Arabidopsis thaliana: one gene and its partners. The protein of the gene in region 1 interacts with the protein of each later gene in a pairwise test. Each region holds a gene or a part of one and is shown on either strand. Other genes may lie near its edges.

The links.
Region 2: the proteins of FRS3 (region 1) and ZIM interact in binary tests that used the Arabidopsis thaliana proteins (3 or more experiments, as listed by UniProt).
Region 3: the proteins of FRS3 (region 1) and TCP9 interact in binary tests that used the Arabidopsis thaliana proteins (3 or more experiments, as listed by UniProt).
Region 4: the proteins of FRS3 (region 1) and TCP8 interact in binary tests that used the Arabidopsis thaliana proteins (3 or more experiments, as listed by UniProt).

Annotation. Positions count from the first base shown.
Region 1 is NC_003071.7:11,575,155-11,584,232, forward strand, and holds FRS3 (FAR1-related sequence 3), read right to left. Parts: upstream 5,664-9,078; 5' UTR 5,252-5,663; coding exon 3,098-5,251; intron 3,016-3,097; coding exon 2,926-3,015; intron 2,657-2,925; coding exon 2,507-2,656; intron 2,168-2,506; coding exon 2,051-2,167; intron 1,860-2,050; coding exon 1,815-1,859; 3' UTR 1,514-1,814; downstream 1-1,513. Other genes in the region: SE (C2H2 zinc-finger protein SERRATE (SE)), read left to right, coding at 1-279, 360-408, 524-783, 892-1,050, 1,143-1,203; TIL2 (DNA polymerase epsilon catalytic subunit), read left to right, coding at 6,069-6,203, 6,303-6,368, 6,443-6,502, 6,575-6,670, 7,072-7,232, 7,338-7,426, 7,505-7,722, 8,136-8,222 and 3 more.
Region 2 is NC_003075.7:12,642,233-12,649,694, forward strand, and holds ZIM (GATA-type zinc finger protein with TIFY domain-containing protein), read left to right. Parts: upstream 1-3,331; 5' UTR 3,332-3,552; coding exon 3,553-3,858; intron 3,859-4,014; coding exon 4,015-4,104; intron 4,105-4,188; coding exon 4,189-4,322; intron 4,323-4,792; coding exon 4,793-4,900; intron 4,901-5,009; coding exon 5,010-5,115; intron 5,116-5,232; coding exon 5,233-5,316; intron 5,317-5,376; coding exon 5,377-5,502; 3' UTR 5,503-5,632; downstream 5,633-7,462. Other genes in the region: PWD (phosphoglucan, water dikinase), read left to right, coding at 4-119, 195-399; CLT2 (CRT (chloroquine-resistance transporter)-like transporter 2), read left to right, coding at 656-1,053, 1,139-1,284, 1,362-1,399, 1,479-1,594, 1,919-2,018, 2,111-2,146, 2,234-2,284, 2,490-2,613 and 2 more. UniProt on the Arabidopsis thaliana protein: Transcriptional activator that specifically binds 5'-GATA-3' or 5'-GAT-3' motifs within gene promoters.
Region 3 is NC_003071.7:18,819,410-18,825,840, reverse strand, and holds TCP9 (TCP family transcription factor), read left to right. Parts: upstream 1-3,951; 5' UTR 3,952-4,053; coding exon 4,054-5,124; 3' UTR 5,125-5,599; downstream 5,600-6,431. Other genes in the region: SSE1 (shrunken seed protein (SSE1)), read left to right, coding at 240-308, 613-670, 961-1,180, 1,265-1,829, 1,904-1,971, 2,153-2,214, 2,315-2,376.
Region 4 is NC_003070.9:21,509,983-21,516,732, reverse strand, and holds TCP8 (TCP family transcription factor), read left to right. Parts: upstream 1-2,543; 5' UTR 2,544-2,847; coding exon 2,848-4,053; 3' UTR 4,054-4,401; downstream 4,402-6,750. Other genes in the region: AT1G58110 (Basic-leucine zipper (bZIP) transcription factor family protein), read left to right, coding at 1-77, 169-244, 348-474, 612-814; AT1G58090 (F-box and associated interaction domains-containing protein), read right to left, coding at 5,108-6,223. UniProt on the Arabidopsis thaliana protein: Can specifically bind site II elements in the promoter region of PP438/PNM1.

The DNA of each region.
Region 1 (9,078 bases):
CTCTCATTGGCAAGAGAGGTTGAAAGGTCAAGATCCCTTGGAAGTGATGGCTGCCAAAGAGAAGATAGATGCTGCCGCTACTGAAGCTTTAGATCCACATGTCCGAAAGATTAGAGATGAGAAGTATGGTTGGAAATATGGTTGTGGAGCCAAGGGCTGCACGAAGCTGTTTCATGCTGCTGAATTTGTGTACAAGCATCTCAAGCTGAAACACACTGAGCTTGTCACAGAGCTGACTACCAAAGTTCGGGAAGAACTGTATTTTCAGAACTATATGAAGTATGTAGGCTTTTTCTCTTGGATTCCTCTACTGTCGTTTCTGACAGGTTCGTAATGAAATTTTTTTGTGCTATTTGCAGTGATCCTAATGCTCCAGGAGGACAACCAGCCACGCAGCAATCTGGCCCGGTACATGATCTTCTTTTGAGATTTAATGGAGTGTTGACTAGTCTGTACTTTTGGGTTATCACTTGTTTAGCTTGGTTTGAGTTTTATTTACGTGGGTTAATTATACTTTCAACAGAGAGATAGACCTATAAGACGTAAACCCAGCATGGAGAACAGACTGAGGGATGATAGAGGTGGACGCAGAGAGCGTGATGGACGTGCTAATGGAAATGACAGAAATGATCGGTCAGAAGATCAACAGAGAGGGGATAATGATGGTGGAAATCCTGGGGAAGTTGGGTATGATGCATTTGGTGGACAAGGTGGTGTTCATGTTCCTCCCTTCTTATCGGATATAAACCCACCACCAATGCTGATGCCTGTTCCTGGTGCTGGGTAGGTTTAATAAAGATTACTCACTCCCTTCATGATCTTGTTTTCAGAATAAATTAGTTACTGTGTTGAATCAATGATCTTAATGTGTCTGAATGATGATGTGGTCAGGCCACTGGGACCATTTGTACCAGCACCACCTGAAGTTGCTATGCAGATGTTCAGGGACCCAAGTGGACCCAACCCTCCTTTTGAAGGTAGCGGGAGAGGTGGACCTGCCCCTTTTCTGTTGTCTCCGGCCTTTAGACAAGATCCTAGACGGCTGCGCAGGTAACGTAGTTCACTCTGTGCTATGAGTCCATTACCCTATGATCAAGAGTGCAGTGTCTCTAAGGTACTAATGTATGAGAAATTTGGTGCAGCTACCAAGACCTAGATGCTCCAGAGGAAGAAGTGACCGTTATTGATTACAGGAGCTTGTAGACAAGACAGGGCTAGAGAGATCCCGAGTTTACTGGTTCGGGTTGGGTTAAAGGGCATCAGTATTAGAAGGCAAAGCTAGCAGATTGTGGCATTTTCTTACCCTTTTGATGTATTATGTCTTGTTCCTCCCAATTTTCACTCACTAAAGCGTAAAATACGCACTCCATACATTTCCTTATTGTTTTTCAAAATTTTTCATGTGCTTTCTTACTAATTCTGTTCGACGATGATTACATAAATAGCATGAGAATTTCTTGTATTGAATAATGCGTTTTATCCACATTGTTTGTTATCAATACTTAAGTCTCCATGGCAGTCTTAAATCTCCATGGCCATTAAATATAATCTGCAGTCAAACGAATGACTATCCACAAGAATCCAGGTTTTTAGGGTTCAATGTAAATAAGAAGGATATATACACTTCAAAGCCTGGCTCAATGCCTACCAGATTCTACACACTTGCGTAGATGACGTGACACTTACACATGTTACAATTACACATAAGGCATTGTATCGTAAATCTAACAACACTAATCACAGACGAGCTCTAATGAGGTTAACAACCATTTTCCAAAGTTTTCTTTTCCAGAGGTTGTTTCTCTCTCTCAACATCATTTGCGTTGCTTCTTTGCTTGAGATTCTGTTTGTAGCTCTCCCTGCAAATGCAAGATACCGTTTAGATACTCTATAAGACAATACATAGACCAAGTAATAGTTCAGGAACAATTATAGGTCGATATGAACCTAATTGATTGCTGTTACTATTACTAATTCAACTATCATTGGCCTTGTAATTATTTAATAACTACTACTTGGAAAAAGAAAAAGAAAAAGGGAGTGTGCCTACAACGATTGAGAGCTGCTCACGGATATAGGCCATTGATCTCAACATGGCACCTAGTGTATCTCGGGACACCTGAAACTTGACCTCTGATTCTCCTGTTGTTGTCTCGGTATCTTGAAGCTGGAGTAAGGAAAACAAAAGAAGATTTTTTCACACTGTTGAAACCTTCTAGTTCAATTAAGAGTCCCTAATATGGAGTAAAACATTGATTTTGGTAATCAAACATGAAATTTCATATTCAAGTAGTGACGCTAGTATAAATAACTGCAAAACGTATGGCAAGTTAACATGAATGAGAGAATCAGCTTAAACAAGTCAAACAACACAGAAGTTTCACACACTAACGGTAGATGGAATCTATGTTAGAACAAACCAAAGACAATCAATAAATTAAAAGGAGTTTAGTCAAGTCAAGAAGACTACATGAGAAGCTACGAGCCTAGAGTCTAAAAGACATACCTTCAAATTGATGACAGCTACTCTATTGGCTGGAGATGAAAGTTGCTCGCTAATGTAAGCCATGGACCTTAACATGGGTTCAAGTGTGACGCTAGACAGCTGAAATTTGACATCCATGTCTGCTGAGGGAAACTTTCTGTAATCGTGCAACTGAAAACATCATGAAAAATAATCCTCAGTAAAGCGGTCAACTACTATTTTGCAGGAACGAGCAAGACTATTAATGGCAACAACTTTGATTTTCCTACACTATAGCCAGTAACTTTTCCGAAAAGGCGAATGTCAATTGTTCAAATCTTCAAGATCATTATTCTTACAAATCTAATCTCTTTTAGATAAAGCATCCCATCAGACCAACTTTCAGTAAAAGTTACTGCAAAACCCTACAGAAAAGATTTACTGGTTCATATAATGCACACCTTTAAATTGATAACTGCAACTCTACCACCCGGCATTGTATTTTTACTCTCCATCCCCCAAGTCAATGACTTAAGACAAGGAAGAGCCACCTGTAAGACAAAGTAAATCAAGTTACTGACCAACACCAATAGAATCAAAGAAATAAGTCTGTGAAAGGTTTCCTCTGGGTACCATATTCTCAGGAGCAGTATCATCTCGGTGAAGTGACACTGGTGCCATACGCGGCAGATTCAGATCAGAAACAGATTGAGCTCTGGCCCCACCATCGTTAAGGTTAAATCTGCGTATCATTTCATCCTGGCGCGGCCACAGCAAAGGGGTTGTGTCAGCAGCTGATAGAGAGGTCTTGTCACCACTACCAATTCCACCACCATGTGAGCTAGGAGGCGCAGCTCTACCTATCCTTTTCCTGACAACTGAAACCTTCTTTCCACCTTCTCTGAGTTGCCCTAAAGCAATATTATAAGCTTCAGCTGTAATTGCCCCTTCCTCAGCATACTTGATGGCTTCGCGACATAAATGATTATAGCGGTGTATCGAGCTATCATGCCCATTTTCACTGACATGCTCATCTAACTCTACCATGCTCTTGGCATTTCTTGTCCACCGTCTCAAAATATAATGTGGTGGCAAAGTGAGTATATTAGTGACAGTAAACACCGTCAAAACATGTCGGCAGAGTATGCCGGAGTGCTCAAACATTTGACAGCTGCAGTTTGCTCTCATTTCAGGGTAGCAAAACGTTACTATATAAGCTTTGTTGTCATTTTCAAAATTTGCAACCCTAAATGTGCTGGTAGTACCATCATCTTCAATTCTGTTTGCCGTGTGAGCGAATGTCTCTACCAACTCTTCCTGGAACTTTCCAAATATTTTCCTTGTAAAGAGATTTGCAGCCTGATTCTCCATGGGTGATGGCGTCTTCAAGACTGGAGGTGTGTTGACAGTGTCAAGATCTGCTTCAATCTCCATCTCGAACCAGCTCTCCATAGCCCTTTCGTACAGCCTAAAGAACATCGGAAGGGTTGTCTGCTGATTCACATATCCATCGAAAAAGGAACCCGAATAACCTTGGCTAGGAAACACTGCAGCAAAAAACGAATCCCGGAAATAAACAGGTACCCACTGAGCTCGAGCATTATATAAAGAATTAAGCCATTCATGTCTTCCTAAGTCATATTTGTCAATGACAGAACTCCAGGACGATTCAAACTCCTCAATCGTTTCAGTAAAGTTGATACAATTATATAGCTCCACCTGAAAACTAGGATACGCAAGACACACATGAGCCAGCTTTTCCTGACCTTCTCTTAGCACATCCCACTTATTAATACAGTGACGAGCACCTGGAAATACCTGACCAGCAGCAATCTGTATGGCTCTATCTTGATCAGTCACCAAAGAAACCGGCGGTTGATCTCTCATTGCTGTTAGAAAAGTCTTGAACAGCCAGATAAATGAAGTGTCTGACTCGTCCAAAATAAGTGCACAGCCAAATAAGATAGCCTGACCATGATGATTCACACCAGTAAATGGCGCAAAAGGAACACGAAACTGATTGCACCTGTACCTCGTATCTAAGGTAACCGTGTCACCAAAATGAGTATAAGCAACCCTAGATCTCGAATCAGCCCAAAACACATTTGACATCTGATTATCTTCATCAAGCTGAACCGCATAGAAAAAGCCAGGATTCTCTGCCTGCATCCTCTTAAAATACTCCAACAGATTATGTGCATCCCGTCCAATCGTTCTCTTCGTGTTTGTAGCCATAGACGCATTTCTAGCTCCTCTGCTATTAGCATCCATAGAAACATACATCATACCACTAGGCACATTAACCCCTTCTTGATAACTAGATTTCTCCGAGTTAGCAAAATGCCTACGAGGACGAAGACAATGAAGCATATTAGAACTTGCTAATCCATGAGTATGCTCTTTAACAAACTTTGTAACAACCCATTTCTCATGACCTTGCAACTCTATCCTAACCATTGCATCACAACTCTCAGAAAGCCTTCTCTTTGACCTTTTACTACTACTACTACACACAAATTCTCGAACACTAACAGACCCATCAGTTCTAGGAAGAAGCTTAGAAGTAAAACCAAGCTGCCTCGAGTACTCATCATAGAAAGATTTAGCTTCTTTTTCTGAATTAAACTCCATACCAACACATGGCTCTGCAATTCCAATCTCATCTTGCACCCCTAACGAGTTATCCATGTTGTTCTGTCCACTGCAATCACTAGGTTCAACATCTCCTTCATCTCCTATCTCATGATTCCCCATTGACACATTCTCTTCCACCAAATGAACATCCATAACCTTCACTTAGTAGAGAAGTTCTAATTTCACACAAATGTTTCTCATCTTCATAGTCTACAAAAAAGTACTATTAGTGTTTGGAGATCTTCTTCCGAACATATAAATATGAGGACTTTTTGCATCTCTCACTCTCCGATTGTTTGTTGAGAGAGAGAGAAACCCAGAAAGAGGAGAAAGCAAAAGAGAGAAAGAGGAGCTTACGTCAGTCAGTGATGCGAAGAACTCAGAACTCAGAAGAATCGAAAGTCGTGAAATTAGGGAGAAGGGCAACAACAATTGGGGAAAATTGAGAAGAAGCTATGGCAGCTATTTCGTTTTCAGATTCGACCGGAGGAAATTAAACTCCTGCTTCTTCTCAGTCGTTCGCGAGGAAGAAGAGATTCAAGCACGAAACCGACGTCGTTTCGTGCTTTTGTTGGTTTTTTTTTTTCAATTTAAATAGCGAGACCTCGTTTTAATCTAAACCCAACAACAGAAAGCCCTCATAAAAAGTGAGGCCTCATTTGAACCGAACCCAACAACCAGGAAAGCCCTTGATACAAGAGACAACGCGCGCGAAAGCATTTCATCTTCTTCATCTGTCTTTTTTAGTTGAGCCCTAATTCATTTTCGGATGACAACTTCATTTCCTTGTATTGTCGTCATAAGAATCTCAGGTTCTAGATGATTCTCTCTTCTCTTATTTGATCTGGTTCCATCTCTTCACCGTACCAGTGTCAATCACGAATCCCTTTGTTTTGAACCCTAATTTATTTAATACGCAACACAAGCAATCAATACAAGAGTCTCTTAGCATCATCGGCGTGGGCCAAATATGAGCGGAAGGAGATGTGATCGGAGGTTGAATGTGCAGAAAGTTTCAGCGGCAGATGAACTCGAAACTAAACTTGGATTTGGGCTTTTCTCCCAAGGGGAAACGCGGCTCGGGTGGCTACTCACGTTTGCATCAGTAAGTCACGTTTTGTGACTTCCCTAGTAGTTAGTTCTCTGAATACTGAAAACTTCTAAGTACACTCACTGATTGGTTATTATACTACGTTGTTGGCAGTCATCTTGGGAAGATGCCGATACTGGGAAAACCTTTAGTTGTGTGGACCTTTTCTTTGTCACTCAGGTCAGCTGTGGTCATTGCTACTATATTAGCTTCTTTCTTCGTATCAGTTGCTCAACCCTTTTTGTTTCTTTCAGGACGGCTCTTCTTTTAAGACTAAGTACAAGTTCCGCCCTTACTTGTATGCCGCCACCAAAGTATATATGTTCTCTCTGTACTCGAGTGTTTTCTTCCTATATGTCAACTAAACTGCAATGCCCTTTTTACAGGACAATATGGAACTGGAAGTTGAAGCCTACTTGAGACGCCGATATGAAAGACAAGTTGCTGATATTCAGATTGTTCACAAAGAAGATCTTTATCTTGTAAGTCACTAAAGCATAACTCCTTTTACGCAGTTTGCAACTACCTGTTGATTACTCGTTTCTTTCTCTCTATATAGAGGACTCATGTCAATTACATTTGCTACAACTTTTAGTTATTTTCCTCTTCTTGCAACTTCAAATTGAGCAGCTCTAGTAATAAGTCCAAAACTGATCTTGCTTCCATGTGCTCAAATCATCTATCTAGCCTGCCAAAAACGTTCTTGTAACTCAAAAAACGTTTGCTAGTAAATGTTTAAGTGTTTAATGCTTCTTCTTTAGTGGCAACATTATGCAAGATATGAACGTTTTCAGTACCTCTTGTTTGGTTGTCACTTTTGCTGACCTTTTCTTTGACCTACCATACCAATTTGAGTTTCTTGATTTCTTATGTTCATGAGCAGAAAAATCATCTATCTGGCCTGCAAAAAAAATATCTCAAAGTATCATTTGACACTGTGCAACAATTGGTGGAAGTAAAGAGGGATCTGTTGCATATTGTCGAACGAAACCTCGCAAAATTTAATGCACTTGAAGCTTACGAATCCATCTTGTCTGGAAAACGGTAAGGCAATGTATTTTTGTTCTTATAAATTTCCAGAGTTCTTACAAATTTATCCCTTAAAACTATGTTGTTCCTTAGTTATAATTTCCAAGTCTTGGAATGTAGAGAACAACGTCCTCAAGACTGCTTAGACTCTGTGGTGGACCTCCGCGAGTACGATGTTCCTTATCATGTCCGATTTGCAATTGATAATGGTAACCTATTTAGTCAAACTTTTAATCCTAGTTTAGCCCTCAAGGTTGTCAAAATCATGATGTGTTCTCGCTGTCCAGATGTGCGTAGTGGGCAATGGTACAATGTCAGTATTTCCAGCACTGATGTCATACTAGAGAAGAGGACGGATCTTCTCCAACGCGCAGAAGTTCGCGTTTGTGCATTCGATATAGAGACAGTAAAGCTTCCATTGAAGTTCCCGGATGCTGAATATGATCAAATTATGATGATATCCTACATGGTTGATGGGCAAGGTTTTCTAATTACTAACAGAGAGGTAACTGCTGCATACATTTGTATTGCATTGGATTTGATCTAATCAATGATGATATATTACATGATGGATGATGACCGTTTCCAAATCATAAACGTAGATAAGCTGCTATATAGCCCTTATGTGAATTTGGATTATTTTGATTGCATTCTTAATCCAAGATAAATCAGATATGATCCATACGAAATTATCCCGCTTGTTTGATTGATTGATGTGTGACTGTAAGACTTATTGTTGTGGACTAACATAACGTTTTGCTATGTAATTTAAAACATGAATTTTTTTTCTTAACAATTTTCCATTGGATATATCATCTCTGGTTGATATCTCAGCTCTATTATTTCTTTTAAATATTTGGGCCACTTCAATCTTGTTTGATAAAATTTGTAGTATTAACTTTGCACTTCTTAATTCAGTGTGTTGGCAAAGACATAGAAGATCTGGAATATACACCCAAACCAGAGTTTGAAGGGTATTTCAAAGTCACGAATGTTACCAACGAGGTAAAGTAAATTAGCTCTTGATTTGAATATTTGTATCAGAAAGATTGAGGTGCTTAGAATTAAGTTACTTTCTTGGTTTTGATTTGTATAGGTTGAACTCCTCCGAAAATGGTTTTCTCATATGCAAGAGTTGAAACCTGGTATTTATGTTACATACAACGGTGACTTTTTTGACTGGCCATTTATAGAACGGAGAGCATCTCATCATGGGATCAAAATGAACGAGGTATCACGTTTCCTTCACTGTGGTATTGCTAACAAAATATTCTGTCTGCATCAAATATATGATCTACTTGAGAAATTCTTTGTGACATTATTCACTGATATTTTGTTGTCACCTTGTGAATGTGCCTCTGCTTAAAACTAGATTAGTAATGTGTTTTGCGTTTGAATTCTGAAGTTTTCTTAGAATTGGCAAGGTGGCACTCATCTACCAGACCTCGGTTCTATTTCCCATCCCCAGGGCATAATGTTTTTTTTTTTCCTTCCATCGTGGTTGCAGGAGTTGGGATTCCGTTGTGATCAAAATCAAGGTGAATGTCGAGCTAAGTTTGTGTGCCATTTGGATTGTTTTTCTTGGGTGAAACGTGATAGCTATCTTCCTCAGGGAAGCCAGGGTCTGAAGGTTCATTCTGTTTCTTTCTTTTCGCCATTATTTTTCTTTTGTGGAGGAATTCATATTATGATTCTGAGTGGTGCTTGCCTCTTAACTAAATGCCAGGCTGTTACAAAGGTAAAACTGGGTTACGATCCACTGGAAGTGAATCCTGAGGACATGGTTCGGTTTGCAATGGAAAAGCCACAGGTATTGCTGATTAATTAATAAAATGCTATTTCTGTGTGACAAAGTTTTTTA
Region 2 (7,462 bases), on another chromosome or scaffold:
CAGGTGATCAGTTACCCAAGTAAGAGGATAGGTCTGTATTCTAAACCCTCAATCATATTCAGATCAGATTCAAACAACGAGGATCTCGAAGGCAACGCAGGCGCTGGACTTTACGACAGGTTTGTTTTGTGTGTTTCTCTCTGTTTCCGTCTTTTATTTCGGAACTCAGAAGCTGAAAGGGTTAAGTGCTGCAGTGTGATAATGGATGAAGCAGAGGAAGTAGTGGTGGATTACTCAAGGGAGCCACTAATAATGGACAAATCCTTTCGAGTGCGTCTATTCTCAGCGATTGCAGAAGCTGGAAATGTGATAGAGTCAATCTATGGTTGTCCTCAAGACATTGAAGGTGTTGTCAAAGGTGGACATATCTACATCGTCCAAGCTAGACCCCAAGTTTAAGCTCTCTTTTTCTACTTGTACCATTCCCTAAGTTTTCAATCAAATCTTATAATTACAAGCTAATCTTTTATATGTTTGCTATTACACATGTAATATTTCTACATCATGGCACACTCCTGATACAAACAAACATGATTCAAAGTTTCATAATAAATGATTGTGTGATAAAAATCCAAAACTCGTTTAAACGACATCGTATGAAGGGTCGCATAAGCGAAGAAGGATATAAAAACAGTCGCCGAGAAAGTCTCCCGCTATGGATACCGTTCTCATGGCTACAACACCACCAATCAGATGTCTTCATGCTTCAATTCCTACGGTGTTCCGTTCGCCGGCGATTTATCAGGTCAGCTGCCGGAGCTCCCAACTGTTTTCCTACCGTTCGACGACTATGATGAGCATGTGTTTTCTCAGACGGTCCGATTTGAGATCTCGCTTTCTTAGTACTCCGAAAACCACTTCTCCGATGAGACGACCTCGCTTTTCCGTCGGTGCTTCTACGGAGGAGTCTTCAATTCCTTCTAATCGGAACCTTATCGTGGCTAACTCCGTCGTAATCGTAGCTTTAGCTGTAGCTAATCGCGTGCTCTACAAACTCGCTTTGGTTCCCATGAAACAGTACCCTTTTTTCATGGCTCAGCTCACCACTTTCGGGTAACTTAAACAAGAGTGGCTATGAAAGAAATTGGGCAGTGAAGGAGCCTAGCTTAGATTATGATAAATGAATGGTTTTTGGCAGCTACGTCTTGATTTATTTCACCATTCTGTATACGAGGCGCCGTCTAGGCATTGTGACGAATGAAATGATGGATGTACCCAAATGGAGATTCGCAATCATTGGTTTTCTCGAAGCTCTTGGTGTTGCCACTGGCATGGCTGCAGCAGGTATCCCATTTATAGCATGATTGAAACTTTACATATTTATAAGGTTACATATGGAGTGATTCCACTCTCTGTTGCAGCAATGCTTCCTGGACCAGTTATACCCATTTTGAATCAGGTCTTTTGGTTTTATGATTATCTTCTTGCTCATTTGTTCTCATGGGGGTGTTGAACTCATGCCTCCCAATGTTTGGCAGACATATTTGGTGTGGCAGCTGCTTTTTGCTCTTCTTATTTTAGGCAGGAGGTTTTTGCTTAACCAAATTGCTGGTTGTCTCCTTGTGGCTGTGGGGGTTGTGGTGGCTGTTTCAAGGTATTCCTTCCTCCCTCTTCTCTTCTTCTAAAGTTACTTTTATCTTCTTGGATCTGGATGCTTGATCTTGGGGTAGAGAAATGTTTGTGTATCCGTGGTCATTTACAGATTATATCAAGAGAGTGCTTTCAGCTCTTACAATCTAGAAAACTAGTTTTCATGGACCAGAGTCACACCTATCAAATTCACCATGCTAAATGAATGGAGACGGCTCTACTTTAGTATTTATCATCCACATAGCAAATAGAAGGCCCTGATTCTAGAGAAGCTTGTGTGATAGTGATACTTTCATTTTTGTGAATGCTGACTGTAACTCATCTGCAGTGGATCTGGTGCAGATACTACGCTATCTGGAATCGGTTTCTTATGGCCTGCTGTATTGGTAGCATCCGCTGCTTTTCAAGCTGGTGCATCTATCATAAAGGTGAAGGTCGCTCTCTCTTATGAGTTGTGAACATTTCTATTTTATTTTCTTTTGCCAAGACCCAAGTTGTTAAGTGTTTTGTCTGTTAACAGGAATTTGTTTTCAATGATGCTGCAAAGCGTCTTGAGGTATCTCCCTTATCCCCTGCATCAAACAGGAATGCTTTTCTTTCGAAACTTTGCTGAATTAACTCTAAGATTAACTGGTGGATGCAGGGAAAGTCACTGGATATATTTGTGGTAAATTCATTTGGATCTGGATTTCAGGTATCTACTACTACAATATCATGTTGTAAATGTATTTGTTACAGCCAAAACAATTAGACATGCTTCTCCATTACATCAAGAGTACGTGAAGAAAACATTTGAAAGCTGCTTTCCTCTGTTATTCACTTATTATCTCTCTCCTACTTGAGAAGAGTTTTTGTTTTTTGGTTTAGTGTTACGGATCACTGAAGCTGTGCTTGTGCAGGCTCTTTTTGTGTTCCTGTTGTTGCCTTTTCTCTCAAACTTGAAAGGCATTCCATTCGCCAGCCTTCCTTCATATCTAAAAGATGGTGCCGGATGCTTCTTCAACACTGGAGCTAAGATTTCTGGTTAGAGACCATTCGACACTTGTTTTTTTTTCCTTCATTGAATTTTATTCACTGCTAAAACTTTGTGATTATCCATTTGAGAATTTCAGGCTGTGATGGTGCCCCTATACTCCCACTGCTCTATATATCCACCAATCTCGCTTTCAACATCTCATTGCTCCATCTGGTGAAAATATCTTCAGCAATCGTTTCCTCTCTTACCATGATGCTCTCAGGTCCATATTTCTATCCTTCCATGCAACGCCTCTTAAGTGTCACCAAATACTCAAACCCATATGAGATAATACTTTTGGTGTTGTTGTAGTGCCATTAGCGGTGTACATAATGTCAAAACCATTGCCGTATCTACCGGGAGGATCAAGCTTGAGCTCAAATTTTACGATGGGGTGTATAGTTCTTGTCCTAGGTCTTCTTCTCTACAACATTCCCACTACTCCAACTAAACAACACACCAAGACCTCCTAACACACTCACTCACCATTCATCCTTTTTGTGCATTACTTTTTTTTTTGTTGATAAACCAAATTCGTGTAATTTCCCAATTTTTTTTCCTTTGACCATCAAAGATACATAGAATATTCTCAGATATTTTTTTTACGTGAAAAACTAGCTTAAAGAAAAAAAAAAAAAAAAAAGAATAACAAGAAGAGAAATTTGTGATTGGTTAAAAATCCAGTAAAGTAGAGTCGTCGGGTCGTCTCGGAAGCAGTGCTGCGATTTTACCTAAAGTCACCTTTTTTTTTTACCGTCGGGTGAATTCGACGACGGTCCTAATCTCGCCTCCTCCACACGCGCCGATCACCATCTCTCTCTGTAATCGCTCTTCTCGATGTCAACTATTTCCTTCTTCCTTTGCTCTTAGGGTTAGGGTTTATTTTGTTCTTTCTCTATATCCTTCAATCAATGTGAAAAAAAAGCTCTCCCTTTTGGCAGTTTCCGATGTTTGGTCGCCATTCGATTATCCCAAATAACCAGATTGGTACCGCCTCTGCTTCCGCTGGTGAAGACCATGTCTCTGCCTCCGCTACGTCTGGTCACATTCCTTACGACGATATGGAAGAAATCCCTCATCCTGACTCTATCTATGGTGCTGCCTCCGATTTGATTCCCGATGGCTCTCAATTGGTTGCTCACCGATCCGATGGCTCTGAATTACTTGTTTCTCGGCCACCGGAAGGGGCGAATCAGCTTACGATCTCGTTCCGTGGACAAGTTTACGTTTTTGATGCCGTTGGTGCTGACAAGGTAATTCTACTCTGTCCCTCTTTTGTTATTTGTGTGAAGTCTCGATGGATGCATCTGAAACATAACATCTGATGGCTTAGGGCACGTAACGATTGCCTCTTTTGCACCTTTGTGCTTTTGCTAGTCTTAACCAAACTTTGGAAATTGATTTCGTAGGTGGATGCTGTGTTGTCGCTGTTGGGTGGTTCTACTGAGCTTGCTCCTGGTCCGCAGGTGATGGAACTAGCTCAACAGCAGAATCATATGGTAACTTTGTTATTTGTGTTCAAATTCTGCTTAAATTGTCACTTCATCTCGATTCCACCTTTTTCAGTTTGGTGTTATTTTTAGCCTGTTGTAGAATATCAGAGCCGCTGTAGCCTTCCGCAACGGGCACAATCCTTGGATAGGTTTCGGAAGAAGAGGAATGCTAGATGTTTCGAGAAGAAAGTAAGATACGGTGTTCGCCAAGAAGTTGCCTTAAGGTCAGTGTGTCAGTCTTGAGTTTTACCAATTTATGCCAAAAGCTGTTACTCTGAACAAAATTCTTTCACCTTTTCTGGGATAAAAATTTAGTATTCTTGTATAGCTAAACTAAAAATTTTCTACTCTTCTGGCTATGCTCTGGTTGCTTAACTACTTCCTCACTTTCGTGTGCTATGGATTGAAAGGAAATCTGTTCATATTCAACTAGTTTACTATCTAGCTAGTTTTCTTTTATTTGTTTCAAGAAGTTTGGTGACCATGTAGGTGTTTATGTAGAGTAGTAGGCTTCATTGTCCATGGCTTGCTGTAGTATTTGACAATATGGTTGTAGTTGAGCAGGATAGACATCTGAGTCTTTGTTAGTGTGATAAGTAGCTTTTACTGGAAATAATCGACATGTCTATTTCAATAATAAGGGATAGGATTTGTCACCTTCTCTGCCTCTCTGACCTTTGTTAGTGTTTATCAGAATGGCACGTAATAAAGGTCAATTCACCTCTTCAAAGATGACAGATGGGGCTTATAACTCTGGCACAGATCAAGATTCTGCCCAAGATGATGCCCATCCAGAAATATCGTGAGTTCTTTCTCTTCTCTGCCAATTAACTGTTCCTGCAATTTTTGTTTTCCACTAATGTGGGACATTTTGTTTGCACTTATTTTAAACGTGAGTGTGTCTTATGTAGGTGTACTCATTGCGGCATTAGTTCCAAATGTACACCAATGATGCGACGTGGCCCTTCCGGCCCCAGGACTCTCTGCAATGCCTGTGGACTTTTTTGGGCTAACAGGGTACGTATGAAAGACAAAGTGATGATAAAGACATATATAATATGTTCACTATGTTCAGTTCATAAGATACTGATATAGCCAAGAAGTTTGACATTTAGAATTGTTCAATTCTTGTAGGGTACATTGAGGGATCTCTCAAAGAAAACAGAAGAGAATCAGTTGGCTTTAATGAAACCGGTAAGCTCTTATAAATATCACCCTGTGTTTCTGGTTGGTTTATCCACATAAGGCGGAGCTTGAATCATCATCGCTTATTTGTAGGATGATGGTGGGAGTGTTGCTGATGCTGCTAACAACTTAAACACTGAAGCTGCAAGTGTTGAAGAACACACTTCCATGGTTTCTCTTGCCAATGGGGATAATTCTAATCTGTTAGGTGATCACTAAATACTGTGATAAGAATCAGAAGATAGAAATCTTTGTAGAATCAGATGGTCTTCTCTATGAATTTATCTTTTCACCATCACATGTATTATAGAAACCGTAACCGAACCTCAAATCAAATACCATATCAGATGTCTTTGGTTTCAGAGTTTGTTACTATGCTTGCAACCATACCCATTGACATGGTGTGGTTAAAAACGTTAAAGTCGATTCTGAGGGGAAAAAAGTTTACTTATTACGTTACATCCTCAAAAGATATGATCAGATTAAAAAGACTTATCAATGTCTCATACATAAATCAAATACTAATCTACTCAAAACTTGAAAGGTGATTTCTTCTTCTTTTTGGTTGTATTGACCAACTAACAACACTACGTATCAAAATATCCGAAAAGATTTTAAAAGTTTCATTGGAATGGGACAATGCATCTTAGATCTCAATCCTAGTTTACAAGATTAGTTTATTAGAGGATGTATGCATACGCATCATATACCAAAACCATGTGGATTACTAAATCGGGCTCAGGACCACTAAATAGATTAGATTATCTACAAATCACATTATTGTGTACATAACAAATAGAATACATTATATAAATCACACAAAAATGTATCGAAGAAAAGAGAACCGTCGAACCAGTTTGATGGTAATCAACTAAGATAATGTTTTTTTTTCTGATGTCAATAGTGTTTGTTTATGAAGGAATTTATGATGAGATTATTCGAGAAGGAGTCGCTTTAAGTGACCCGATCCTCGTGACGACTCGTTGCTCTTTCTTTCTTTATTATAGATTATAGTTGTTCAAACAAATGAAAAGTATCTGAGACGAATAAATTAATGGGTGGTCTGTTTCTGTACTATAAAGAGGTCCATGCATGTACCATATCATCTTATTATGTACTATTAAACAAATAGATTAATGATTATATAATGTTTTCCGATATATTGAAATTAGTTTATGAGTCACGAGTTAAATCTGAAGGCTTCACCAAACCTAAAGTTAAAAGTCTCAAAACAGTTAAACACTCTTGTGATATCATCCCTGTATATAATCTTTAATGAAAACGTAGAAAAAAAGATTATTTGCAACCAGAAAACATCTGAACAAATATCCATTTCTCGTGGTTTTATGTTAAAACATTTGTCGTGTTGGGAAATAATTGAAACTTTTATTTTCCAACATTGAATTTTTCTTTATGTTAAAAGTGATGTGAACTTTGTATAAAATGAAGGAAAATTTAAAAGCACTCCCCTATATGCGATGCGAGAAAAGGGAGAGAAGATATGTATGCACTTGTTTCTTGTCACGTTCCGTTTCCACAAAATCAGTAGATATGCCAGTAACTGTGTTATCTTCTTCTTTTCGTGCGTCTGTATCCAGGAGACATATAAATGATGCTGAATTTCCTAACTATTTTTAATTTATAAACATGAGAAGCGTTAAATGGGTAGCAGCAATCAAACGTTTGGTGCTTAAAAGCGCTTATTTGAAGTATAAACAATTTGATATTTATAAGATAAAACAGCATTACATATGAAATATCATGATTCATAACTATATATGCAAAATTTGAAAACTTCTAAATCCCAAAATTACACAAAGATTAACTAAACTACATTATAATTTATAAATAAATAAAAAGATTAGTATCAAAACTAAAACGTTAAGAAATATCATAAGTGATGATTAGACGACAGTCAAAATGTTAAATTTCATGATGAAAAAACAAAAAAAAAAGAGTAATTTGTCCAAATACAATCAGCTGACTATATATTTTGTCAAATCATATATCATATATACTAAAACTAAGAAAAAGATAACCATCAAACCAATTCAATTTATATCCACCTACATATGACTTTGATACATTTTTTGTGTAGTTTGATCAGTGATAAGATTTTCAATCCTCTATAGTAATAAAAATTGCTAATTTCGATAATTTAAGAGATAATTACAAAACC
Region 3 (6,431 bases), 7.2 Mb from region 1:
TCGCATCGTAACCGTTGATTACAGGAACTGTAACGTATCAACGGACGATATTGATTCCTAGTTTGTCACTGAAAATAGAAAATAGATGGTGCCTGATATTTTTCCAGCGACCGGCAAAATTGCAACCAGGAAGAGAAAGAAAATCAGAGATTGATTTAACGTGAATGGAATTTTGTTGTTTCCCAATTTCTTCTGAGAAATAGCAAAGTTCAGTTTTGTTTCTCTCTATCTGAAGCTCAATGGAAGCTTATAAGCAATGGGTTTGGAGAAATAGAGAGTATGTACAATCCTTTGGATCCTTTGCCAACGTAAGATTCATTTTTATTACTCTTCTCCTTAATTTATTTTCCAGTTTGATTATGTTCTGATTCTCTGTCGATTTGGGTTTGTTTTCGTCTCGTCGTTAGTGTCAATTTCTAAGTTTTTCATCGTCTGCTTGTTTGAATATTTTTTGCTTGAAGGGTTGTGTTTTAAAATCGAAGCTTTTATTTATTGGGTTTAAGAATGAAAACCCTTTGAAAAAATTTAAGAGTTGAATCAGTTCGATCTTTTAATTCGTAGTTGTGGAATTCATCAGCTGATAGTTCGTCAAATATGTTTGTTTTGTTGCAGGGATTGACATGGCTGCTTCCTGAGAAGTTTTCTGCTTCAGAGATTGGACCAGAAGCAGGTTTTGTGATACTTTGGTAACATTTTACTGCTTTCAATCTTAGAATAACTGTTTCCTTTATCCCTGTTAGCTCCTAAAGTCTCTTGTCTGAATAATGAACACTGTCCTATACTCAGTTTTATCGGTTCTTCTCAAATTACATACTTCACTTGTACCTCCTCACATGTTTCGTGTCCTAAGTCTTTAACATTAGAACCTTCAAGTTCCAAAGAATGTTTCTTTCTTTCTTCTTTTGTCAGTTTTGTGTTCATGGAAGTGTGATTGAAGTTTTTTGGTAATCTTCTTTGTAGTAACGGCTTTTTTGGGCATATTCTCAACGATAAATGAACACATAATTGAAAATGCTCCAACACCTCGTGGCCATGTTGGATCTTCCGGGAATGATCCATCCCTTTCTTATCCACTACTCATCGCCATCCTCAAGGATTTGGAAACTGTTGTGGAAGTGGCAGCTGAACACTTCTATGGAGACAAAAAATGGAACTACATTATTCTCACTGAAGCTATGAAGTAAGCTTGCTTTCTTCTGATCACTTGGATCTACACAACCTACTTAGTTGGCATTTTGATATCTTGAAAACTTTGAATTTTCAGGGCTGTCATTAGGTTAGCCTTGTTCCGGAATAGTGGGTATAAGATGCTTCTTCAAGGAGGGGAAACACCTAATGAGGAGAAAGATTCTAACCAATCCGAGTCGCAAAATAGAGCTGGTAATTCGGGTAGAAATCTCGGGCCTCATGGTCTTGGAAACCAAAATCATCATAATCCATGGAACTTGGAAGGACGGGCGATGTCTGCTTTAAGTTCATTTGGTCAGAATGCAAGAACAACAACATCTTCTACCCCCGGTTGGTCTCGAAGAATTCAACATCAGCAAGCAGTTATAGAGCCTCCAATGATCAAGGAGAGGCGAAGAACGATGTCCGAGCTACTTACTGAGAAGGGTGTTAATGGAGCGTTGTTTGCGATTGGTGAGGTTCTTTACATAACGAGACCGCTCATTTACGTTCTTTTCATCAGAAAATATGGAGTCCGATCTTGGATTCCTTGGGCTATATCGCTTTCTGTGGACACACTGGGGATGGGTCTTCTTGCAAATTCGAAGTGGTGGGGAGAGAAGAGCAAGCAAGTCCATTTCTCAGGACCTGAAAAGGATGAGGTTAGAAATCTCTTGGACCTCAATACAACAGTAATGTTGAACCGATTTAACTCATATTCTTGTTACTTCTTCAGCTGAGGAGACGAAAACTGATATGGGCATTGTACCTCATGAGAGATCCATTCTTCACCAAGTACACAAGGTGAGTGTTCTTATGGTTTCAATTATGGCATTTTCTGAAATGGGAAAAATTGAAACCGAAGTGGTTCATTTCCTCTTGGCTCTTATGTTAATATTAGATTTGGTATCCCTGGGTTTTAGGCTTAAAGCTTAAGCTATCGCGGGTTACTAATAAATCAAATATGCTTGTCTTGCAATTGCAGGCAGAAGCTGGAAAGCTCTCAAAAGAAGCTGGAACTAATTCCATTGATCGGATTCCTCACAGGTTTACTTTTTAAAGCTTTCATTTCATTCACGAGATCACTGATTGTCTTGTCTACTTGCCATCTACTGACCTTATTTTGGTTCTCTCATGGAAATTGCAGAGAAAATTGTGGAGCTTTTGGAGGGAGCTCAGTCACGGTACACTTACATATCGGGATCGTGAGGTTAAGCGTTTTACTTATGGTTTATATGCAACGGAAGAATATTGCCATTGTTGGAATGCTTTTTCAGATCATCAAAGGCTCCTACAGATTTCTTAGGGAATGGTTTCAGGCTTTTGTTAGAAATTGTGTTTATTGCAACAGGTAGAGAACATAACCATAGACAGATGTATCTGAAGAGATAAGCTTCTCTATGTCTAAAGAAATGGACCGATACGAATAAAACAAGCATCATTAAAGATTAAATGGTTTGTAAGAAATACTACACTTATTTATGTGAAATTGTGTGGTTAGTGAAAAGTAAAAACATCGGAATCCAAAACCTCAAATTTACCAATCAGCCCAAATTATTGATGCTGGCGTAATGAATGGTATGCTGATGGTAGGCAAAAGTTGGTGGCTGCGAAAATTACAACATTATCCCTCTGTGGTGGACCCGAATCTGTAATCGGAAAAGGTGGAACCCACTTGGTTTAACTTTTAAGCCTAAAAGGTTACTACCGGTTTGACCGGTTTATAATTTGGTGTTTAATTCTAATCCCGGATCCGTTTGTTTGTTAATCTCAAGGCCACGTTATCGCCAATATTTTGATTTTTGAGTGGGTAGGGAATGGTGGGGTCGAATAGTTGGGCCTAGCCCTCAACAATGTGTGGAACTGAAGAGAGTAGGGTCCAGCTCAGGCCCACATTCACATTTTCGTTTTGTAGCCTTTCTTTTCTGGTGCTTACGGTCCCTCTTTCTGGTCGGTCGTATGTACAAGTAGCATAGCTAGTGGTTCAAACCCGAAACAAGTACCAACGAATCAAAATAAGTTTGAATCGGTTACATCTAGTTACCGTCGAACTTACAATCATTTCGATTACTTTGATCTGATTTCTAGTTCGGTTTGTATGTTTAATATCCGGATTGTACAAGTACACAAGTACATAAGTATGCGTATATGTATGTGACCGGTTTAATCAAAGGACGGACGATAGGAGGATTTTGGAATCCTGGAAAGAGGATTATTCCATAGACACTAATTAGCTTTTTGGTGGCGCAGCCTTGTGACCTACATTAATGGGGTCCAACCCCAAGTATGGGCTTACAGCTTTTTCCATAAAATTAAAGTAAATCTTTTTTTGCCTAACCAATAAAAATTATTGAAAATCTTTCCAACCATAGAAAAGTTAAATTTGATCAGCGATGGAAATTTTTGTACAAAGCTAGGTATTTCATTTGGGAGTGTACTAGTAACTAGTAAGTACTAACCAGAATGAGTTTCTGATTTTGGATTTTGAAGCTTTTCTTAGGTTAAAAAACAAGTATATTACTAAACAATAAAAGAAAAACATTTTGTGAAAAGAGAAATAAAGTTTACTGGACCCCATTGTACAGATGGTCCCATAATAATACTGATAGAAGATAGAGCAATGGAAAGTGATTTGTTCACGTGGTACAATCGGAATGGTTCTTTAAAGCTCATCGAACACATCAGGACCGTTGATTTTTCCCGCATCAAAAAGCGTTGAATACTATTCTCACTTGTTTTCCTGCTCCTATATATATATCCTGACGAGTCACATTTAGTAATCTCCTTGGACGTGTAACGCCGTTAAAACGATTCTTTCCCATTGTATCCGCTTTTAACAACTCTCGTCGTCATCTCCACCGTCCGTTTTCTCTCAGCTATATTTTAATGGCGACAATTCAGAAGCTTGAAGAAGTTGCAGGCAAAGATCAAACTCTAAGAGCCGTTGATCTAACCATCATCAACGGCGTCAGAAACGTCGAAACTTCAAGACCTTTCCAAGTAAATCCCACAGTGAGTCTCGAGCCCAAGGCGGAGCCGGTGATGCCGTCGTTTTCAATGTCTTTAGCTCCACCGTCTTCGACAGGACCACCATTGAAGAGAGCTTCGACTAAAGACCGTCACACGAAGGTTGAAGGAAGAGGGAGAAGGATACGGATGCCTGCCACGTGTGCGGCTAGGATTTTTCAATTAACTCGAGAGTTAGGTCACAAATCCGACGGCGAAACGATTCGGTGGTTGTTGGAGAACGCTGAGCCGGCGATTATAGCCGCCACGGGTACGGGAACGGTTCCCGCCATCGCCATGTCGGTTAACGGAACCTTAAAAATCCCGACGACGACGAACGCTGATTCTGATATGGGTGAAAATCTGATGAAGAAGAAACGTAAACGACCTTCTAACAGTGAGTATATAGACATAAGCGACGCCGTTTCAGCTTCCTCCGGTTTAGCTCCAATTGCCACGACGACAACGATCCAACCTCCGCAAGCTCTGGCATCATCCACTGTGGCTCAGCAACTTCTGCCGCAAGGAATGTATCCGATGTGGGCTATTCCATCAAACGCAATGATTCCGACGGTCGGAGCTTTCTTCTTGATTCCACAAATCGCTGGTCCGTCGAATCAGCCTCAGTTATTAGCTTTTCCCGCCGCCGCTGCTTCGCCGTCGTCTTACGTCGCCGCTGTTCAACAGGCTTCCACGATGGCTAGACCACCTCCTTTACAAGTTGTTCCAAGCAGCGGCTTTGTATCCGTTTCAGACGTTAGCGGTTCGAATTTATCAAGAGCGACGTCGGTTATGGCTCCGAGCTCAAGCTCAGGCGTAACAACCGGTAGTTCATCGTCAATTGCAACAACAACGACGCACACGCTGAGAGACTTCTCCCTAGAGATATACGAGAAACAAGAGCTTCACCAGTTCATGAGCACCACAACAGCACGGTCATCGAACCACTGAAGAAAAGAAAGGAAACGGCGGCGTATTAGTGATCGGAAAAAAAGCACGTGTGCACATGAAGAAGTGCACGTGTTAAGAAGTGGGCCTCGATTTTAGGCAGAAGTGGGTCAACACGCACCAAAAAGAGAGTGGAGGGAGGAGGAGAGGGGCCACACGGCTCCCACCTTACGCATAGCTTCCGAGGCAGCCAGGTTGGGTGTGGTCCCCAAATGGTTAGAGCTACGTGGTCCGTATGAGTAGGACCAGCTTAAGCTTAAGCATAATTCGAAACGTTTCGTTTTTTTGGTGGGGGCTCACCACTTTGTCTTGACTTTTTTGGTCTTTGTAATTTTACAAAATAAGATTTATTGAAGCCCTCTCTAAGTCATGGTCCACTCAACAACAATTGTGATATTGATGTTTTGATTTTATTAAAATCTGTAACAAAATAAATATTTCTATCTAAAATGAAAATACTAATGTTGTTTTCCTAAAATTGTTGTAGCATTACTTTTCAAATGATTCCATTTTCTTACAAGTGTTACAAAAGCTTTTTGCGAAAAAAGTCTCGTCCGTGTTATTGGCGGGGCCTAGTAAGCTTGATTGTACCACTAATACGGCGTTGTTTCGTGGGGCCTGAAAGCTTCCCACTCAAGGGACGCCTAGTTGGGTCAGCACCACCAGTTTAACGCTAAGGAAATAAAGGAACAGCCTGGCGTGGGTCATACTTGTGTCTATCTAATCTTTACCGTTCAATTCCATCGTCTTGTCCTAACCGTTGATTCTATTTCGTTCGTTGTTTAATTAGTACTAGTAGTAGTAGATATTTTCTTCTTGTCTACGGTCTCAACGCCAGACAGGATTTACTATAAGATAACTTTGTTTATGTTTGATTTATAATTCAAGTGTGGTTGGTTAAAGTTAAACCATGGTTCTCCGTTTCACACCGTTGATTATATATTTTTTTAAGATATGTAGGAAGTAAAACTTTAAAAGGTTAAACACAAGGTAAAATGTATTATTGGAGGCCTAAACCAACTTGGTGGCCGTGGATGGGGAAAAAAGGTCCAGAAGTGTTGGCTATAGGATTCCTCGTGGACTTAGAGAAATGACTTGTCGTTCTCTTCTTTTATTTCAGTGGACCTCATTAATTTTTATATATAGTTGGCCTATAAATTTATAAATGTTCCTTTATTTTTCTTAAAAAACAAAAAGGTTTTAAATCAAACAGCGGGAAACCAGCCCAATGCTTTTTTAATTTCTTGATTAAGCCCAAAAAAGGGAAAAAGTTGTATGGGCTTACATAACATTTAGGACTAAGGCCCATT
Region 4 (6,750 bases), on another chromosome or scaffold:
ATGTTATCTTCTGAGGAAAACAACTCCAATCCTTCGCCTGTGACTTATGAAGCTGACAACACAAAACGAGCCAAACAGTTTGTGATCTCTTTACTCGTTCTTGATTGATGTACCTATTCAAAGCAATATAGAATGATCAGTACTCATTTAGTTTGCTGCTCCCTGCAGGCAATTTGCACAAAGATCACGGGTCCGTAAGCTCCAGTACATATCTGAGCTAGAAAGAAATGTACAGACATTGCAGGTAAGGCTCAAAAAAACTTGCATTCAAAGAGAGAGTAAGTGAAAGATGTAGTAGATTACAATTTGTGCAGCACTGAAGTATGGATTTTATTTTGTGACTATAGGCAGAAGGCTCCAAAGTTTCAGCTGAACTTGATTTTCTCAACCAGAGGAATCTTATTCTGAGTATGGAAAATAAAGCTCTCAAGAAGCGTCTCGAAAGTATAGCTCAGGAGAAGCTTATCAAACAATGTAAGTTTCTCGCAGTTTCTTTTAGGTTCTTAAGGTTCAAACTATAGTCTAGAGTATGAGTTTGTAAGTATTAGCTAGTTATCAAGATTCAACAGTTCTTAAGATTGTATACCTCATGAGTTCTGTCTATTATCCAGTGGAACAAGAAGTGTTGGAAAAGGAGATTGGGAGACTACGAGCGTTGTATCAGCAACAACAACAAACTCAAAAACCATCAGCCAGTCGCGGACGTGCTACTAGCAAAGATCTCGACTCTCAGTTCTCCAGTCTTTCACTGAACACCAAAGATTCCAACTGTAGGCGTGACTCTGTATCTGTGATGGGTCAATTCCACTTTTAGTAAATGTCTCTCTACCCACTGGTTCATTAGAGATCTTAAGGGCCTGGCGACTCAACAAGATCAGACCCTTATCTACCGCCTCACCACAGACGTTTTTAACTCCCCCGTCGTTTCTTTTTTTTTCTTTTCTTATGGTTGACAAGTTAACTCACCAGTGCACCTGGAAATCCTATATTACTTCCAGGAGATGGCTTGCCTGAGGTGGTTTAGTTCGAAGATCAGACACCTGGACTTCATTTATCTGGTGATTGTTGTAGCGACTTGTGTAATATATGGGACGAATATATTCGAACCCGGACTCATCTCTGGAGTTGTACTATGATACCCACTGTTGTATTTTATGTTACTTGTAAAATGGTGCATTCCCTTCGAGTGAATGCTTCATGTAAAGTTGTTGCCATTTTCTGTAGTACTATCCCCAAGCGTCAAAATATTTGATTGCCTCAGATCTGCACTTAATTTATATGCACATTTACAGCTATTTCATTGCTCTTTGTCAAGCCTCTTGAAGGGCCTATATCAACTCAATTGTTATCAGAAAGTAAACTGGTTAGCATTGTTGTCGTTTGGTTTTAGAGGAAACTGAAACGGCTACATTAGAAATGTTTTTGGTAGGCGTGGGCAAAATACCCGAACCCGAAGAACCGAACCGAACCTGACCCTAAAAACCCGATCTGAATTCAAACCCAAAATTTTAAAATACCTAATCAGATCCTAAACTACAAAACCCGAATCCGATCAAGTTTCTGAACATATCTGAAATATATATACATAAAAATAATTTATTAGTAATAATCATATTTACAACAACTATTAAGTGCATAAAATATTAGATTTTGTATATATTTTGGATATTTTACCTACTTTTCGATAGATTCGGATAGAAAATACTCAAGTTTTTTGGAATTTTTTTTGTGTATTTTCAAGTAATTTAAATATATTTTGATACAAAATTTTGAGTTTTGGATATTCCGGATGAACTCGAATCCAAACCAAAAAAACCCGATCTGAATCTGAAATCTTAAAATAACTGAACCGTAAACCCAAAAAGACCCAAATACCCCAACGCCTTACCATATTAAATTAGGAGGAAACCCGTTCATAAATAATTTTTCGGGTTTGGGCCACAACAGACCGGCCCATTTCAACCGGTTCATAAATTCTAAATACTAGAAAATTCCAAATTAGATAAGTTTTTGTCCATCCTTTCTTTGGGATTCTTGACGAGTAACGTTTGATGTCTTTCTTAATTTGGTTGAATGATCAAATTTGTGATCCAAATTCTTACAAACTGATATGTTAATGAATCTATAACCAAAATAACGTCTAAAACAAAAAGCTGTAACGATTTGAAAGTGCATTTTTTCCCAAAACTATATAACTAATTAAAGAATTTAGTGTCATTTATCTAATGGATATACTTTTAACAAAATCTTATAAAACTAAAAATATTTAAGACAAAAGTGAAATGGAGATACGGAGGTGGATTGTAATGAGCTGTCCCCACCTGCAAAAATACGCACGCTTCACTGTCTGAAAGATGCTTATCTCTCTCTTTCTAACTTTCTTAATCCACAAATCTTTTTTAAACCTTTTTTTATTGGTGCTCTAAAATTGGTAAACAATAATGTTGTGATGAAAATAATGTAATTGAAAAATAACATAACTCATATTTGGGTAGAATTTTGATAAAAAAGACTTAAAATAATTGTGAAAAGTTATTTTTCTCCCCTAATTACTTTTTGATTTATATAATAACTAATCAAAAATCAATAAACGTTTTATTTAATGTTAATGACGGCATATATATTATTTATTTTAATAATAATATCCTCTTGCTGGAAAAGTCATCCACCTGCTTTTACATCATCAAACCTTTTTTTCTCTCATCTCTCTCTCTCTCTTCTCGAGACAAAGAAGAAGACAAGAGTCAAACTTGAAGGCGACAATCGGAGCTTCCATGGCCGTTTCTTCCTCTTTCACCAAACCCTAATTTCAATTTCATCTTCTTTTCCCTTCTTTCTCACCGGAAAATGGATCTCTCCGACATCCGAAACAACAACAACGACACCGCCGCCGTCGCCACCGGAGGAGGAGCAAGACAGCTAGTTGACGCATCTCTCTCAATCGTTCCCAGATCTACACCTCCCGAAGACTCAACACTCGCAACAACCTCATCTACGGCAACGGCGACTACAACGAAGCGGTCGACTAAAGACCGTCACACGAAAGTCGACGGAAGAGGACGTCGGATTCGTATGCCGGCGCTATGTGCAGCTAGAGTTTTTCAGTTAACGAGAGAGTTAGGTCATAAATCCGATGGTGAAACTATTGAATGGCTTCTTCAACAAGCTGAGCCAGCTATTGTTGCTGCTACAGGTACAGGAACTATTCCGGCGAACTTCTCTACTTTAAGTGTTTCGTTACGAAGTAGTGGATCGACTCTCTCTGCTCCGCCGTCGAAATCGGTGCCGCTTTACGGTGCTCTTGGATTGACTCATCATCAGTATGATGAACAAGGAGGCGGCGGTGTGTTTGCTGCTCATACGTCGCCGCTTTTAGGGTTTCATCATCAGCTTCAACACCACCAGAACCAGAATCAGAATCAAGATCCGGTGGAAACTATTCCTGAAGGTGAGAATTTCTCTAGGAAACGGTATAGATCGGTTGATTTGTCTAAAGAAAACGATGATCGGAAACAGAACGAGAATAAATCTTTGAAAGAAAGTGAAACGTCGGGTCCTACGGCGGCGCCGATGTGGGCGGTTGCGCCGCCGAGTAGGTCTGGTGCTGGGAACACTTTTTGGATGCTTCCGGTACCGACAACGGCCGGTAATCAAATGGAGAGTAGTAGCAACAATAACACCGCCGCAGGCCACCGTGCTCCTCCTATGTGGCCATTTGTGAACTCTGCTGGAGGAGGAGCGGGAGGTGGAGGCGGAGCAGCGACTCACTTTATGGCGGGAACGGGGTTTAGTTTTCCGATGGATCAGTACAGAGGAAGTCCACTTCAGTTAGGTTCTTTTTTAGCTCAGCCGCAGCCGACTCAGAACTTAGGACTAAGTATGCCGGACTCGAATCTCGGGATGTTAGCCGCTTTGAACTCGGCTTATTCAAGAGGCGGAAACGCAAACGCGAATGCGGAACAAGCGAACAATGCGGTGGAGCATCAAGAGAAGCAGCAACAGAGTGATCATGATGATGATAGTAGAGAGGAGAACTCAAATAGCTCTGAGTGAGTGATGTAAACTAATCTTGTGAAATCATTGAATGTGGTAAGAAATTGATTTAAAGCGTTTGTAGCGGTTTGGTTGATTGTTTTATTGTGAGATTTTGTGTGTTGTTGTTTAGTAGTGTTTAGACAAGAACAATTTATGTGTGAAGGAATTGTTAGGTTTGGGTCCAAATGGACTCTCATGGGTAGAGAATGTTTTCAATGTATAGAAGGAATGATAGTCTTTTCGATTTTTCAGTTTTCATTGTTGAGTTTCTTATATTTTTGTAGGATAAAATTGCATTCAAACCAAAAGAATAAAAATTGCATAATTAATCGCAATTAATAAGTTCCAGTGAAAGAGTTGGTGACAGATCTCACTTCTTTTCTGTATGCTACTTTTGTTTGATTTCTTTTTCGATCGAGCAAGGTCTTCTGCAACTGTTCTTTTTTCTGGCACAAGGATTTTCAAGGCACTAGTATGTATATAATATAAGACACACTGTTCTTTACTTGGAAAAAATTGAGTTTGGATACTTACATGATAGATATTCTAATAACATGCCTAGATGGTTTAAGCAAGCTAGGTTGTATACATCTACTCATTAATGTTTATTTTCAATACTCAGTGTCACTGGGCTTCCGTTCTCTTATTAATTTCAATGGAGTGCTAAAACTAACTTTGGGGAAATAGATAGTTGTTTGGTTCAAATATTTTGTACACATGATATTATTCTAAGACAACATACACGCACTAAGTTAGTTTTCTGTTTTTGTCCTAGTCCGCGCTAACATTTTGGCTTATGTTATAACTTCCTTGGTTACAGTATTCTCCTAATTTGAGCGATAGGTTATAGTGTATATAAACAGGAATCACTGATAGAGAAAGGACGTCGTATATCTTCCCATGCTCACAAATTAGATTATCAATTAACCGAATTAGGCCGAACAAATTGTGGAAATCAATCCTGTAAAAGCTTTATTAAATAATATCTAAATAATACGAAAGCAACAATGAATTTAAAACTTGTAAAAGTTCTTCTTGTTCAGTACTAGCTTCAGCGAAAGTCTCTCAACTCTCAAGGAATGGTGATCAAACTGGGAACATAGACAGAGGATTGAAACTCACATAGCACTTGATCTATCTTAATCTTTTTGCACAAATCTCCCCTCACAATATACACCCAAGCTGCTTTAGGTCTCTTGCTAGGACAACACAGAACAAAGCTCTTCCCATGGATATCATTATCGACAAAGTAACTTGTAGAGATGTAACTAAGTAATATGGGGAAGTCAGGTCTTGAGACTGTCATGAACTTAATCCACACCACATCGTCTCCATCATCCCCGTTACCAATTTGATCCTTTGTCACCCAAATCTCAATCTCCCTTGTTTTTTTGGATTGTTCTAACACTGAAAACCGATCTCCCTTGTAAATCGAGAGGATACGAGTATGTGTAGTACTTTTTTCCCCCTTACACGGTAAAACACAAAAGGTCTTTCGACTCTTTTCTATCTCTTTCGAAAAATCGAGCATTGCGATGAAATACTGACCAGTGTGGGGAGAATTATAAGCTGTCCAGTACAAATTTCCATTCAGGGAGACCCTACCGGAGTCGTCCATTAATTCTGGCTTTTCGTGAAAACGGGTATGATCAGTAACCTTCCACGCATTGGTTGCAAATTCGAAGACTGAATATGTATCAGTAACTTTACCCTGCCAAGAACAACTACTCCTTCCGATAATCTTGTAACTCTTTTCGGGTCTACTACCATCGTAACCAATGGCCTTGCCACATGTATTCTCAGCCTTGGCAATCCATTTAGTCTGTCTCCAAAACAACGGGTTCCAAACAACGCCTCCGCCTCCATTAAGAAAGCTATACATGAAGAAGTTACCATCGCAGATCCCATACAGATGATAACCGCGGCAACTTAAATGATCAAAGCGTAAATCACGCACCTTTATAGTTGGATTTTCGTCTTTGAGATCGACGCTTATCGAATAAATATGTGAATGTGTATTTAACATGATTTCTGGCCGACCGCAAGCAAAGTTTTTGTTGATGAATCTCTTATTCTTGAAAAGAGTGTTCCATTCTCTGCAAACGGATCTGAAGCGAACGAGAGATCGAGGTGGAACTCGAAAGAGTATCTCTTCTTCCAGATCTAATGGAAGCTTTTTCGACACCATTAGGGTTTTCTTTTTTTTGGTTGGAACCATTAGGGTTTTCTTTGAAAATGAAGCAATGGAAGAAAATATATTTACATAGATAGAGTAACAATTATTTCATTTTCGTAATATGTTATATAAAGAATATTTGAGAATAATATATAATTGGCTCGTCTACCAAACGGCCGGCCAATTTAAACCGCAAGGTAAGGTTCCGTTATTTGCTTCCTATATTTGAAGCCCTCTACTCGTGTCTCGTGATTCCTAATAGACATACAATTATAATCCATAACTAATGATGTCATATATATGTTCTTTTAGCGATGAGCTTAATTACTAAATCGAATTTGGTTGTTTAGACTTTAGAGTATATATAAGGAACGATGTGGAATTCTCTTGGGGTTAAGATGCAAATTGCTCGTGTCTTGTAGTATTCACTGTTGATTGTGTAATTAAACAATAAATTTATACTAAAGGATTTAGACAAATTCACTTTTCTCTTAGCTCGCGAATGATCAAAAGAAAAGAACAAGGTTACTTGGGTAAAA